Linked DNA regions of Arabidopsis thaliana. The protein of the gene in region 1 purifies or fractionates together with the protein of each later gene. This does not show direct contact. Each region holds a gene or a part of one and is shown in the gene's direction. Other genes may lie near its edges. The genes, in order: PGY2, AT3G52580 and AT2G40010.

Evidence for each region.
Region 2: the proteins of PGY2 (region 1) and AT3G52580 fractionate together in Arabidopsis thaliana (co-fractionation; one large-scale study listed by BioGRID). This does not show direct contact.
Region 3: the proteins of PGY2 (region 1) and AT2G40010 fractionate together in Arabidopsis thaliana (co-fractionation; one large-scale study listed by BioGRID). This does not show direct contact.

Annotation. Positions count from the first base shown.
Region 1 is NC_003070.9:12,021,172-12,024,924, forward strand, and holds PGY2 (Ribosomal protein L6 family), read left to right. Parts: upstream 1-2,053; 5' UTR 2,054-2,188; coding exon 2,189-2,563; intron 2,564-2,728; coding exon 2,729-2,851; intron 2,852-3,244; coding exon 3,245-3,331; 3' UTR 3,332-3,612; downstream 3,613-3,753.
Region 2 is NC_003074.8:19,501,135-19,504,887, forward strand, and holds the start of AT3G52580 (Ribosomal protein S11 family protein), read left to right. Parts: upstream 1-2,018; 5' UTR 2,019-2,189; coding exon 2,190-2,192; intron 2,193-2,463; coding exon 2,464-2,583; intron 2,584-2,660; coding exon 2,661-2,706; intron 2,707-3,102; coding exon 3,103-3,188; intron 3,189-3,284; coding exon 3,285-3,414; intron 3,415-3,499; coding exon 3,500-3,567; 3' UTR 3,568-3,753. Other genes in the region: AT3G52570 (alpha/beta-Hydrolases superfamily protein), read left to right, coding at 11-269, 349-587, 736-848, 1,180-1,320, 1,406-1,661.
Region 3 is NC_003071.7:16,709,086-16,712,838, reverse strand, and holds the start of AT2G40010 (Ribosomal protein L10 family protein), read left to right. Parts: upstream 1-2,066; 5' UTR 2,067-2,390; coding exon 2,391-2,648; intron 2,649-2,757; coding exon 2,758-2,826; intron 2,827-3,275; exon of another isoform or gene 3,276-3,552; coding exon 3,553-3,753. Other genes in the region: AT2G40020 (Nucleolar histone methyltransferase-related protein), read right to left, coding at 1-242, 330-474, 647-844, 939-1,076. UniProt on the Arabidopsis thaliana protein: Ribosomal protein P0 is the functional equivalent of E.coli protein L10.

The DNA of each region.
Region 1 (3,753 bases):
TAGAGATGGAGATAACACCTAGAGATGGAGATAGAGAGAGAGAAAGCTTCAGGAGGAGATGAAGAAGATGAGAGGAGGTGCAGATTTGGGGATGTTTTTTTCTTTTTTTTTCGGTCCAATTTTTTTTTTTCTGGATGGATTGATCAACTTTACAAAATCTCTGGCAAATATTTGGTAGATTTTTATTTTATTTTCATTGCTTTAACTTATGAATAAATCTATATTTTGAAAAATAAAAAGCTTGTGTACTTCTCGAATGTTTATGGTCTTAATATTGCTGCTTGCTTCGTTTTGGTCGCATGATTTTAAATTTACTAGGTTATAAATCCACGCGTAATTTTTTTATCAAAATTGATTCTTAACTCTATTGATTTTTATAATTTTTAATATGGTATATTTAAAATAAAATGTTTACTTTATTAGAAATTTTAATACTATAATCAATAATATATACTTTTCACCAAATTATATTACGCGTGGGTTCAAAACCAAGTGTTAATTACTTTGAAAAGCAAATTTTATATAATAAAATTTTAAAGTATGATATACTCATAACTTGATTTTTTTTTTTTTGCCGGCTACTCATAACTTGATTTGGTGCTATTTATGACAATTTCTCTAATTTATTCGACTTTTGTTATTTTGTTCTTTAAAGCAATGATAAATTATTATTTGGTCTGGCCCGGAACGGACTGCTTTCAAATGGACCGGGCCGCCAGCCCACATACTAACTCATTTAGATATAAGTTTCTTCTAACCTCTCTTTCTCTAAAAAGCTGTCGGCGAGTGGGAGAAGCGCAGAGAGAGCAAACAAAGAGCAAACTTGAATTATTTCTCCGTTGGCTTTGTTTGAAAATATATAAAAAAAACAATTAACGGGCCATGAGCTTGTTGCAAATAATCTATTTATTTTTCATTTTAGGATTTTTGTTTCTCGACACGAGTTGAGCTGATTTTGATAAGCCCACATGACATTGTTTTAGAGTTTCTGTTTTTCTTCTTTATACTTTTTAAAATGCGGCCAGTGAATAATTTTCTAAGGTTTATGCTTTAATACAAGTTAAATAATTTTTTTGTAAATAATTTTTTGTTGGAATGTCAAATTTATTCAACAAAAGAAAATGATTACAAAGAGTTTTGAAAGGTAAAAAATGGAGAAAATAAACGTGAAAAGTAGAAACAAAAATGATGAAATTGGCGCCACTTACATCATTATAGAAAGTTCAAAAGGCCTAATTCTGACACAATATTATTAACGGGTCATGGGCTTAATGACAATAATAAACTTTTCTCACTTTTGAGTTTTAATAAGCCCACATTTGCTTTAGGGTTTCTGCGTCTCTATCTTTAAATTGCTTCCGACGATTCATAAACTAGGGTTTCTGCCTTTAGCCGTCGTGAGAGAGAGAGCAAATCGAAGAGAGAGCAAAGAGAAAATAATATGTTGTTTGCGTTTGGTACGGTGACTCGATCTGTGGCTAATTCAGTGGTGGTTTGCTACGGCTTTCTTTCGACAATGGTGTTTTCTTTCGACCTAAACTTGATAGACCGAACCAAACTGAACCAATTTTTATATATATTTACTCAATTAAATCCTAAACTCCTCTATTTGATCTGAACCCGATCAACCCGAATACATAAATATCTAATCTTATCCATCTGAAAGGATACTAAACTCTCTAATTCGAATTACCCGAATCCAGAAAAAGCCGAATAGCATGCATTCTATTGGTACTTGATTATATTAATTGGCATATATATGACCTGTTATTGCCAATAATATATTTTGGGTGTTTCCTGGGCTTCAGTTTTATTGGGCTAGGAATGGGTGTACTTTTAAACCCACTTCTGATTAGTCTCTTAGTAAAACCCACTTTTAAACCCACTTCTGACCCACTTCTGACGCCGTCATTTTTCTTGAGAAGGAGAGAGAGCACCACTTCCGTCATTCCAGCCCAATATTTTTAACGGGCCATGGGCTTATTGTAAATAATGTATTTTTCTCATTTTTGGTTTTCTTTATGGGCACGATTTTAGTGGGCTGAATTTTGATAAAGGCCCACATATGAAAGATATTTAGGGTTTTTTCTCTTGATACCTTTTAAAACGCCGTCGAGAAATCTCCCTCTAGGGTTTCTTTGATCAAACCAGAGAGCCGTCAGGGAGAGCAAAACAAAGATCGGAGAAGATGAAGACGATTCTTTCTTCCGAAACGATGGACATCCCCGACAGTGTTACCATCAAGGTTCACGCTAAAGTGATCGAAGTCGAAGGACCTCGCGGGAAGCTTGTTCGCGATTTCAAGCATCTCAACCTCGATTTCCAGCTGATCAAGGATCCAGAGACTGGAAAGAAGAAGCTTAAGATCGATTCGTGGTTTGGAACACGCAAAACCAGCGCCTCCATCAGAACCGCTCTTAGCCACGTCGATAACTTGATCTCCGGTGTTACCAGAGGTTTCCGTTACAAGATGAGGTTCGTGTACGCCCATTTTCCCATCAACGCCTCCATCGGCGGTGACGGAAAGTCTATCGAGATCCGTAACTTCCTTGGCGAGAAGAAGGTTTGTTTTATCTTCTTCATCTCTGATTTGATTCTCATAGATTCGTGTAGATCTCGGAATGAAATAGACTGACACTAGATTCAACTTTATGATTGGACGATGATGATTGATTTCTGAGTTTGCGAGCACTGAACTTACATAGAAATGTGTTTATTGGAATAATAGGTGAGGAAGGTAGAGATGTTGGATGGTGTAACCATTGTTCGATCTGAGAAGGTGAAGGATGAGATTGTTCTTGACGGTAACGACATCGAGCTTGTTTCAAGGTCATGCGCTTTGATCAACCAGGTACTCTCTCTAACTAGCTGGTATCAAAGAGATTTAGGTGTTATCTAGCCAAATTTGCATTTTCTTGGGACTAAAAGGTTGAGAGATTGTGTTAGATAGGTGACACGGTTCAGTTCTAGGAATCAGATTTTGCATAAATGAAGTGAAAATCGATTTGTATTATCTCTATAGGTCTCTAATAGACGATTAGATTACTCGCTAAGTAAACTTTGCCAATTTTGCCTATTGTTTGGCTTCTTAAGCTTTTCAGCATTGTGTATGAAAGTGTTTTTTTGGTTGATGTTTGAGTTTAGGATCACATTTTTGCATAGTGAAATCAAAAGGATCATTTCAGTGATTGATTTACGTGTTCAAGTCTTTGTTGTAATCTTTTATGTTGTGATTGTTGTGCAGAAATGTCACGTGAAGAAGAAGGATATCAGGAAGTTTCTTGATGGTATCTATGTTAGCGAGAAAAGCAAGATCGTAGAGGAAGAATGAATGCCCATATCATCGTCTTAGCTCCTATTTCTTGTCTTTTGAATGTTAGTTTCGTTTTATGGACCAAATCCACCGGTGTTGCAAAACTCTGGCTATCCCTTGTTCCCTTTTTGTGTTCGAGATTTTATTTACTTATGCACAAGTTTTGGAGACGAGCTATCATTTTCACCTTTGCTTAATTAAATCATATCGTGTGAATTTGGGATTGTTCTGGATTTGGCATTGTGGGTTGTGCATTCAAAATTGATACTTCAGTCACTAAACTAAAATCAATTTCTCGCAACGCTGTGATCAAACATAAAGATAACTTGAGACAACGAAAGCGAGCTTTGCAATTTGAGAAAAGCTACGAGACGCCCTGATGGTCAGGTGATCAATATTAGTGCAGAATGATTCTGCTTTCCAGAAGTCCTCTTTCAACC
Region 2 (3,753 bases), on another chromosome or scaffold:
AGAAGAATCAATGGCGAGAACGAGAATTATAACGAACCGATTTGAATCTCGCTTTTTGATTCGTTTCCTTGAATCTCCGACTCTATTCGCCTCTTGTTTCACGAGTTCCAGATCTCTTCAAACCCTAGCCTACGAAGAAGTCCGAACCTCCGGTGATCGGGAGTCTGAATCTACAGCTCTCATCCTTCATGGCCTCCTCGGTTCCGGTCGCAACTGGAGATCGTTTTCTCGCTCCCTTGCATCATCTCTCTCCGTCTCCTCTGCTTCTGGTACGCTTCTCTCTGTGATTAGTATCTTGAGCTTTTCATTTGATATATCGATTGAAATTTCTTGTGTGTGTACATTCAGATTGGAAGATGATATTGGTTGATCTGAGGAACCATGGGAGATCTGCGGAAGTGGAAGGGCTTAATCCGCCTCATGATCTTGTGAATTCAGCTAAGGATTTAGCTGATTTGGTTAAAGCAAGTGGCTGGAATTGGCCTGATGTGGTCATTGGTCACTCTTTGGGAGGTAAAGTGGCGTTGCAGTTCATGGAGAGTTGTGCTCGTGGTGATTTTGGTGAATCTGCTTCTCCTCCTAAACAGGTACTGGACCAAAGTTACTTCACCTTGTGAATTCTTATCATGTATGCAAGTTTAAGAGCTCATTGTTGTTGTGAGATGCAATATTTGTGATCTTTTAATCTGATAATGATGATGATGACCATAGCAAAGGTTGTTTGGTGCAGAACAGCTATGGGTACTAGACTCTGTCCCTGGGGAAGTCAAGGCAGAAAAAAGTGATGGTGAAGTAGAGAAAGTTCTGAAGACTTTGCAGAGTTTACCTTCATCAATCCCTTCTCGCAAGTAAAGTCTCATTCTTTATGTGGTTCTTGGTGTTTGTCTAATTATCTACACTCTGGACTCTTTGTTTTAGCTTAGGAATTCCAAATTGATTCCCGCATATGAAATCTCGAGTGAACGTTAGTATAGTTGGTGTATAAGTATACCATCTCTCTGATTGAGCTGTTACTGCGGATTCTAGGACATTTTTAAGATTTAGATAAGTGGGAATAAAGAGCATGCTTATATGATCGCTTCTAGCTGATTATGTTACATATATAAATGAGGCTCATTTCAGCTTGCAGAGTATAGAATCCAACCTTGGTGTCACTCAAACATTGTTTTCTGATTCTAGGTGGCTTGTTGATCGTATGGTCGAACTTGGGTTTTCAAGATCATTATCCGAGTGGATTGGCAGCAATCTCAAGAGATCTGGAGACTCAGAGACATGGACCTTTAACCTTGACGGAGCTGTCCAAATGTTCAACTCTTACAGGTTTATTTCCCTTCCTAAGAACCAATGACTATGATTATATTATGAACCTTCCTCGAGATTTTGACTTTTTACTTTCCTACTGCAGAGAGACTTCTTACTGGTCTTTGCTAGAGAACCCGCCAAAAGAGACAGAGATAAATTTTGTGATTGCAGAAAAGAGTGACCGATGGGACAACGATACAACCAAGCGGCTTGAAACAATAGCTAACCAGAGACAGAATGTAGCCGAAGGGAAGGTTGCGACTCATCTTCTTCGTAACTCTGGCCATTGGGTACACACAGACAATCCAAAGGGACTCCTAGAGATTGTGAGTCCCAACTTCTTCTCCCCACACGAGTAGACGATGCGCTACGAAAATGGCATTAGTCTTTGCTTACAATTTCACTCCTGTTCAGTATCTATATGCAGAAATAGCAAATCCAATCGCAACTATTTTGACGATGCGCGGTTTTTCCCGTTTGTGTTTCCTAATTTTGCATTAGCATATCCTTTCAACAATGTACAAACGTTTAGGAGGATCTAATAACATCAATAAACTTATCACATTCATAACTTTATACACAAGATTTGAAAGACAATGACTGCTACGTTAGTACGAGGCACAACACCAGTAAGAAGACTAGAGACGATTAAAAATCCAAGATGCTCAAAAACTAGCACTTTTGCTCACTTTTATGGGCCGTAATATGTTGGGTCTGTATATATATTGGGTCTCAATTAAATTATCCATAAAATCACTACTTTAACCCTAACAAAAATTCAGACTATTAAAGCAAATTCTGATCCGTCTCTTTCGCTAGCTAAAGGTAAAAGGCGGAACAACAAAAGAAACCCTAGCTTCCCTTTGTACCTCTCTCTGTTCCAAACCATGGTAAGTTTGTCTAAAGCTTATAATTAATTTTCATGGATTTAGTGATTAAGAAGATATATAATCTGTAAATCCATTTCTGGTATTGTGTGGTGGTCTGAAGTGAGAAAATGTTTAATAAGCAATCCTTATTCTTCGAATTTCGATCTGAGATCATATGAATTTTCTGAGACATTGGATTTTTTTTGTGTGGCTCTAGCGTTGAGTTATCAAATTGAGAAGTTTTTATTAGATATTGCAAATGCATAATGCTAGTTTTTGTTTGGTTTTGTAGTCGAAGAGAAAGACCAAAGAGCCAAAGGTTGAGAATGTGACTCTTGGACCAGCTGTTCGTGAAGGAGAGCAAGTCTTTGGAGTTGTTCACGTCTTTGCTTCATTCAACGACACTTTCATTGTGAGTGGCTTCTTTATTTTTCAAGCAAAGTTAGATTTTTATGTACATTTCTGAACTTCTTATATCTGCAATTGCAGCACGTGACTGATTTGTCTGGACGGGAAACACTTGTTCGCATCACTGGTAATCATCTCTTTCAACTCTCACTCTCTAATCCTTTGGTGATGATCCCTTTGTTAACTTGTATGCGGTAGTCTCTGTTGAGTGTGAAATGAAGTTCTTGACTGCCTAAAGGTTCTGCTTAGTATCTGCTCTTTTAAGTTTTTTCGAGGAATCCGTTGATATCTTTATAGAAATTGCTTTGTTCTTGACGGCATCAATGTTCCTGCTTATAGAACTAAGTTAGTTACCATTGTTATTAGTATTATGGTCTTCTCTATAGGGTGTGAGCTGAAGTGTCTTTAGTCTTTGTTCGTTTAACTTTTGAGGAATTCCTTTTGTTTATCTGTTTGGAAATTGCATTGTTCTTAAATAACAATGGGTTGCTAAAATTGCTGTTTCGATTTCCTACTTCTGTAGGTGGAATGAAGGTGAAAGCCGACAGAGATGAGTCCTCACCTTATGCTGCTATGCTTGCGGCACAAGATGTTGCTCAGCGATGCAAGGTAAAGGCAAAGAAATTGCATTACCAAGCAGACAACTTGATAATCTTTTATGTTTCTATATTTAATCGATTTGGTGAATATATTTATGCAACACAGGAACTTGGAATCACTGCCATACATGTGAAACTCCGTGCCACTGGTGGTAACAAGACCAAGACCCCTGGACCTGGTGCTCAGTCTGCTCTAAGAGCCCTTGCCCGTTCTGGCATGAAAATTGGTCGCATTGGTAAAACAGCAGCAATCTTCAACTGTAATTGTTTAATTGCATCTTTGATTGAATAAATCTCTGACATTGTTCTTGTTTTCCTCAGAGGATGTGACTCCAATCCCAACCGACAGTACCCGCAGAAAGGGTGGAAGAAGAGGAAGGAGGCTCTGAGTTATTTGGCCTCTCGTTGGATCTCCTTATGTAGCTTTCTCAATGTTTCATTTTGTTTTTTCTTAGTTTGAAAAGAGTTTTGGAATTACTATGCTTTGTTATAGTCTCAACTCTGAACAGCTTTGGATCTTTTTCTGTATGACCATAAGATATTCAAAAATTGGTAGTCATTTTATCTCACAAAAA
Region 3 (3,753 bases), on another chromosome or scaffold:
CATCTCTTTCTTCCTCCTCTTCTGTCCACGTACTTCCCTGAGAAGCTCTTGAAGTTCTTCACAAAGAGGTTCTGGAGTAAGCTGAATGATCTCATCATCATCACCATCACTATCCTCCTCTGGCTCCGTCTCCTTCTCCTTTGGATCCTCTGGCTCGGTCTCCTTCTCCTCTGGATCCGTTTCCTCCTCAGGATCCGTCTCCTCCTCATCAATTAGCCATCCACAATGAAGATTCTCCACACCTAATCAATTATTTTGACCGCAGTAAAAGAATGTTTCATTTCTTATGTTGAGATTGGTATGGATATGAGTAAAAAAGCTTTTATTACCTCGAACAGAACTTTGTGCATAATCTGATGATGCTTCTCCCAAATGAATAGCTGCTGGTGATGGGTCATTGACTGCTTCGCTATTGATTGATAACTCATCAGCTTGGTCTCTTCCATACTCAATATGCATGTCCTGCTCCTGCTCCTGTATTACAAAAGATGGATCATGCTGCAAGTTACATACCATTTGGGTAAACCAAGTTCAAGAATTCTGTCAATGGTTTCTAATAATGCCAGCAAAACGAATCCCAACAATGGAAGCAACAGATTTGTGAACCTGCACAGAAAGAGAACGAGAAGGAAGAAAAACAAATCACCTTCTCTTCTTCGTGTATTTCCACAGCCAATTGATTGGGTTGTTCTTCCTCAGCCATCTCTTCATTGTGATTCTCAGGCAATTGGTTGGCTTGTACTTCAGCCAATTGTTTCTCTTTTTCCTCTTGCTTTTCAAGGCAGATAGCAAGGAGGGGACCATAGCTATCATCTTCAATCAAAAACCATTGGTCTTCGTAGACCTGAAATCCAAAGTGGGTAAAACGTTATTTTCAAGTTGCAAGGAAAATGTTATCAACAACGGAAAAATGGAGACCCTAAAACTAGCGAACAAACCTCTAACAGTTCCTTAATACTCTCACTGATAACATGCTCATGAAACCCAAATCCTCTCATGCGATCTCGTGCTGCATCCTCTCGCATCAATCCAGCCTTCTGCAAAAAAGCAAAAGAAAAGTAGCAATTTAAAAGCATAGAAAAGAGAGATAATCATAGAAGGAAAAAAACAAGAACACCCATCATAAAAAGAAGTATTTGTAAACTTATCTCATCAGTGTTCTCAACGTTGAGTACACAGAAGTCGTAGAGAGAAACAAAATGTTAACTTCAACAATCATGTCATTCAAATACTTCATCTATATAGTCATTCTACTCTAATGTCTATGTCTATGCTTTTATCTTAGTTTTCCACTATACTCTCTAAAAACTATATGATTCAAAAGCTCATATCTTTACTTGTTAGCCAGCATTTTAATTTGGAAAAACAAAACAAAAAAAACAGTACAGCTTATACCTTTCTTCTTCCTCTGGGAGCCATTTGTTGATCCCTCACAATTCCCTGTAGTTTCAGAAGAAATTGGAGGACCAAAAGTATAAGTCTTTGGGTTATAATCAAACAAACAAACAAAGGCAACCAAACAAGTGATCCCTTTTTTCAAACCTATGTAACAACAAAATCAACGAAAGATGAAACAAAACAAAAGTTGAGCTCTTTCCCAAAAATCCCGAATCAGTAACACTAGAGATAAACCAAAAATACCCTAAAATTCAAACCCAAATGAAACCTAAACAGAATCACAACAAAACACAAAAACACGAACTTAATTTTGCTACAGAGATGACAATGTGCTGAGCTGTTTCGTTCAGATTCGATAGGGAAAGAGAGTACTTACGGCGGAGAAGATAAAATCGGCGGCGACTGTGGAAGGTTTCTTAAGAATAAGCCGTGGATCGCCTCCTCGTCTCCCAAAAATGCTTCTTTGAATGAAATCGAATTAAAAAAATAATATAGTATTTGTTTGGGTCAACCATTTTCTCTGTTAAGTCAACCATTTTCTTATTGGTTACTATAAAAAATAATAAAGTATGAATTACAATGAATGGATCTCAGTTGGGCTTGAGATGTGGGTCGAAAGAGCTTTTAGCCCAATAGGAAAAAGATTCATAATGTTAAACATGTTGGGCAATATTGGCCCATCCCATTGATACTACTACAAATAATATAAGCCGTTAGATTTAGGTCATCCCACAAACCCTGACCGTTCATCCTTCCGTCTTCCGATAACTATATAAACCCAAGAAACTTCTTCTTCAACCTTAAGCAAATTCTTACGCAGCTTTTTTTCTTTCTCTCTTCCTTCCTCTGTTAAAAACAGTTACAGAGGTTAAAGAGACAGCGCCAATTCGCGCTGTCCACCTTGTACGAGCTCCAAGCTTCGTCTAGGCCCTCCATTTTCTCTACCCCAAAATTTAGTTTCTTTAGTCTCACTTTATCATTTTTAAGTGGAAATGGCGGTGAAAGCAACAAAGGCGGAGAAGAAGATCGTTTACGATTCAAAGCTTTGTCAGCTTTTGAATGAGTACTCTCAGATTCTTGTCGTTGCAGCTGACAATGTTGGATCAACTCAGCTTCAGAACATAAGGAAAGGTTTACGAGGTGATTCAGTTGTTTTGATGGGGAAGAACACAATGATGAAGAGATCTGTGAGGATTCATGCTGATAAAACTGGCAATCAAGCTTTCCTCAGTCTCCTTCCTCTTCTTCAGGTTTCATTTCTCTTGTCTTGAATAGTTTGTTTTCATTTGGATATAAAGTATTGATTTTTTGGTTTTGTGGAGAATTTGATTTGGTTTGGTGTTAGAATCTATTTAACAGGGGAATGTTGGGTTGATCTTCACTAAGGGTGACTTGAAGGAAGTCAGTGAAGAGGTTGCTAAGTACAAGGTTTGTTTCTTTGGCTCAATTGATGTTATTGTTGTTGTTAAGCTTTAGTAGAGTTCAAATATGGATTGATAGCTTGGAAAGTGAAAGTTTGTATTTTTGAGTTTGAAATGAAATCATATGTGTTCTTGCTTAAAATGCAGCCACATTCTAATTGAGATTATTATGATTCGTTGAGCTTTGAGGAGATTACATTTTCATTGATTGGTTTATTACTTAGTTTGGTTAGTTTTATGCTGTATCTGATTATCTCTAAGTAAGCAAGAATGCAAGGTGTTGTATTATTCGATTTTAAACACAAATGCAAACTTTCACTTTCCAAGCAAATAGGGTTGATTAGATTATAGTACTAGTTATTTTGGTTCATTGAGGTTTGAGGAGACGACATTTGTAGTTTCTGTTTTGTGTTTTGATTGATTGGTTTATTTTTAGCTTCTACTGTTACTTGATGATTTAGTCAGTTTATGATCATCCTTTAACCTATGGCTTTAGGTTATTAACTTGTAAGGTGGATAGGTGATAAAGTTTGCATTTTGGTTTAAATTGGAACTCAAAACCTCTATTTTCTGTCTTGAAACGCAACCACATTCAAGAAACTTACTTGAGAGTCTACTAGTTTCCTAGGCTCACATTTTTGTAGCGTCCTTTCATGTTGTTGGATTGATTGATTTTTTCAACTTAGTCTTGTACTGTTAATTGATGAGAAATTCATTGTCCTTTTTTTGACAGGTTGGAGCTCCTGCTCGTGTAGGTTTAGTCGCTCCAATTGATGTGGTCGTGCAACCAGGCAACACTGGTCTTGACCCTTCACAGACCTCCTTCTTCCAGGTGCTTAACATTCCAACCAAAATCAACAAAGGTACGGTTGAGATCATAACCCCTGTGGAGCTCATCAAGAAAGGCGACAAAGTCGGTTCATCCGAGGCTGCG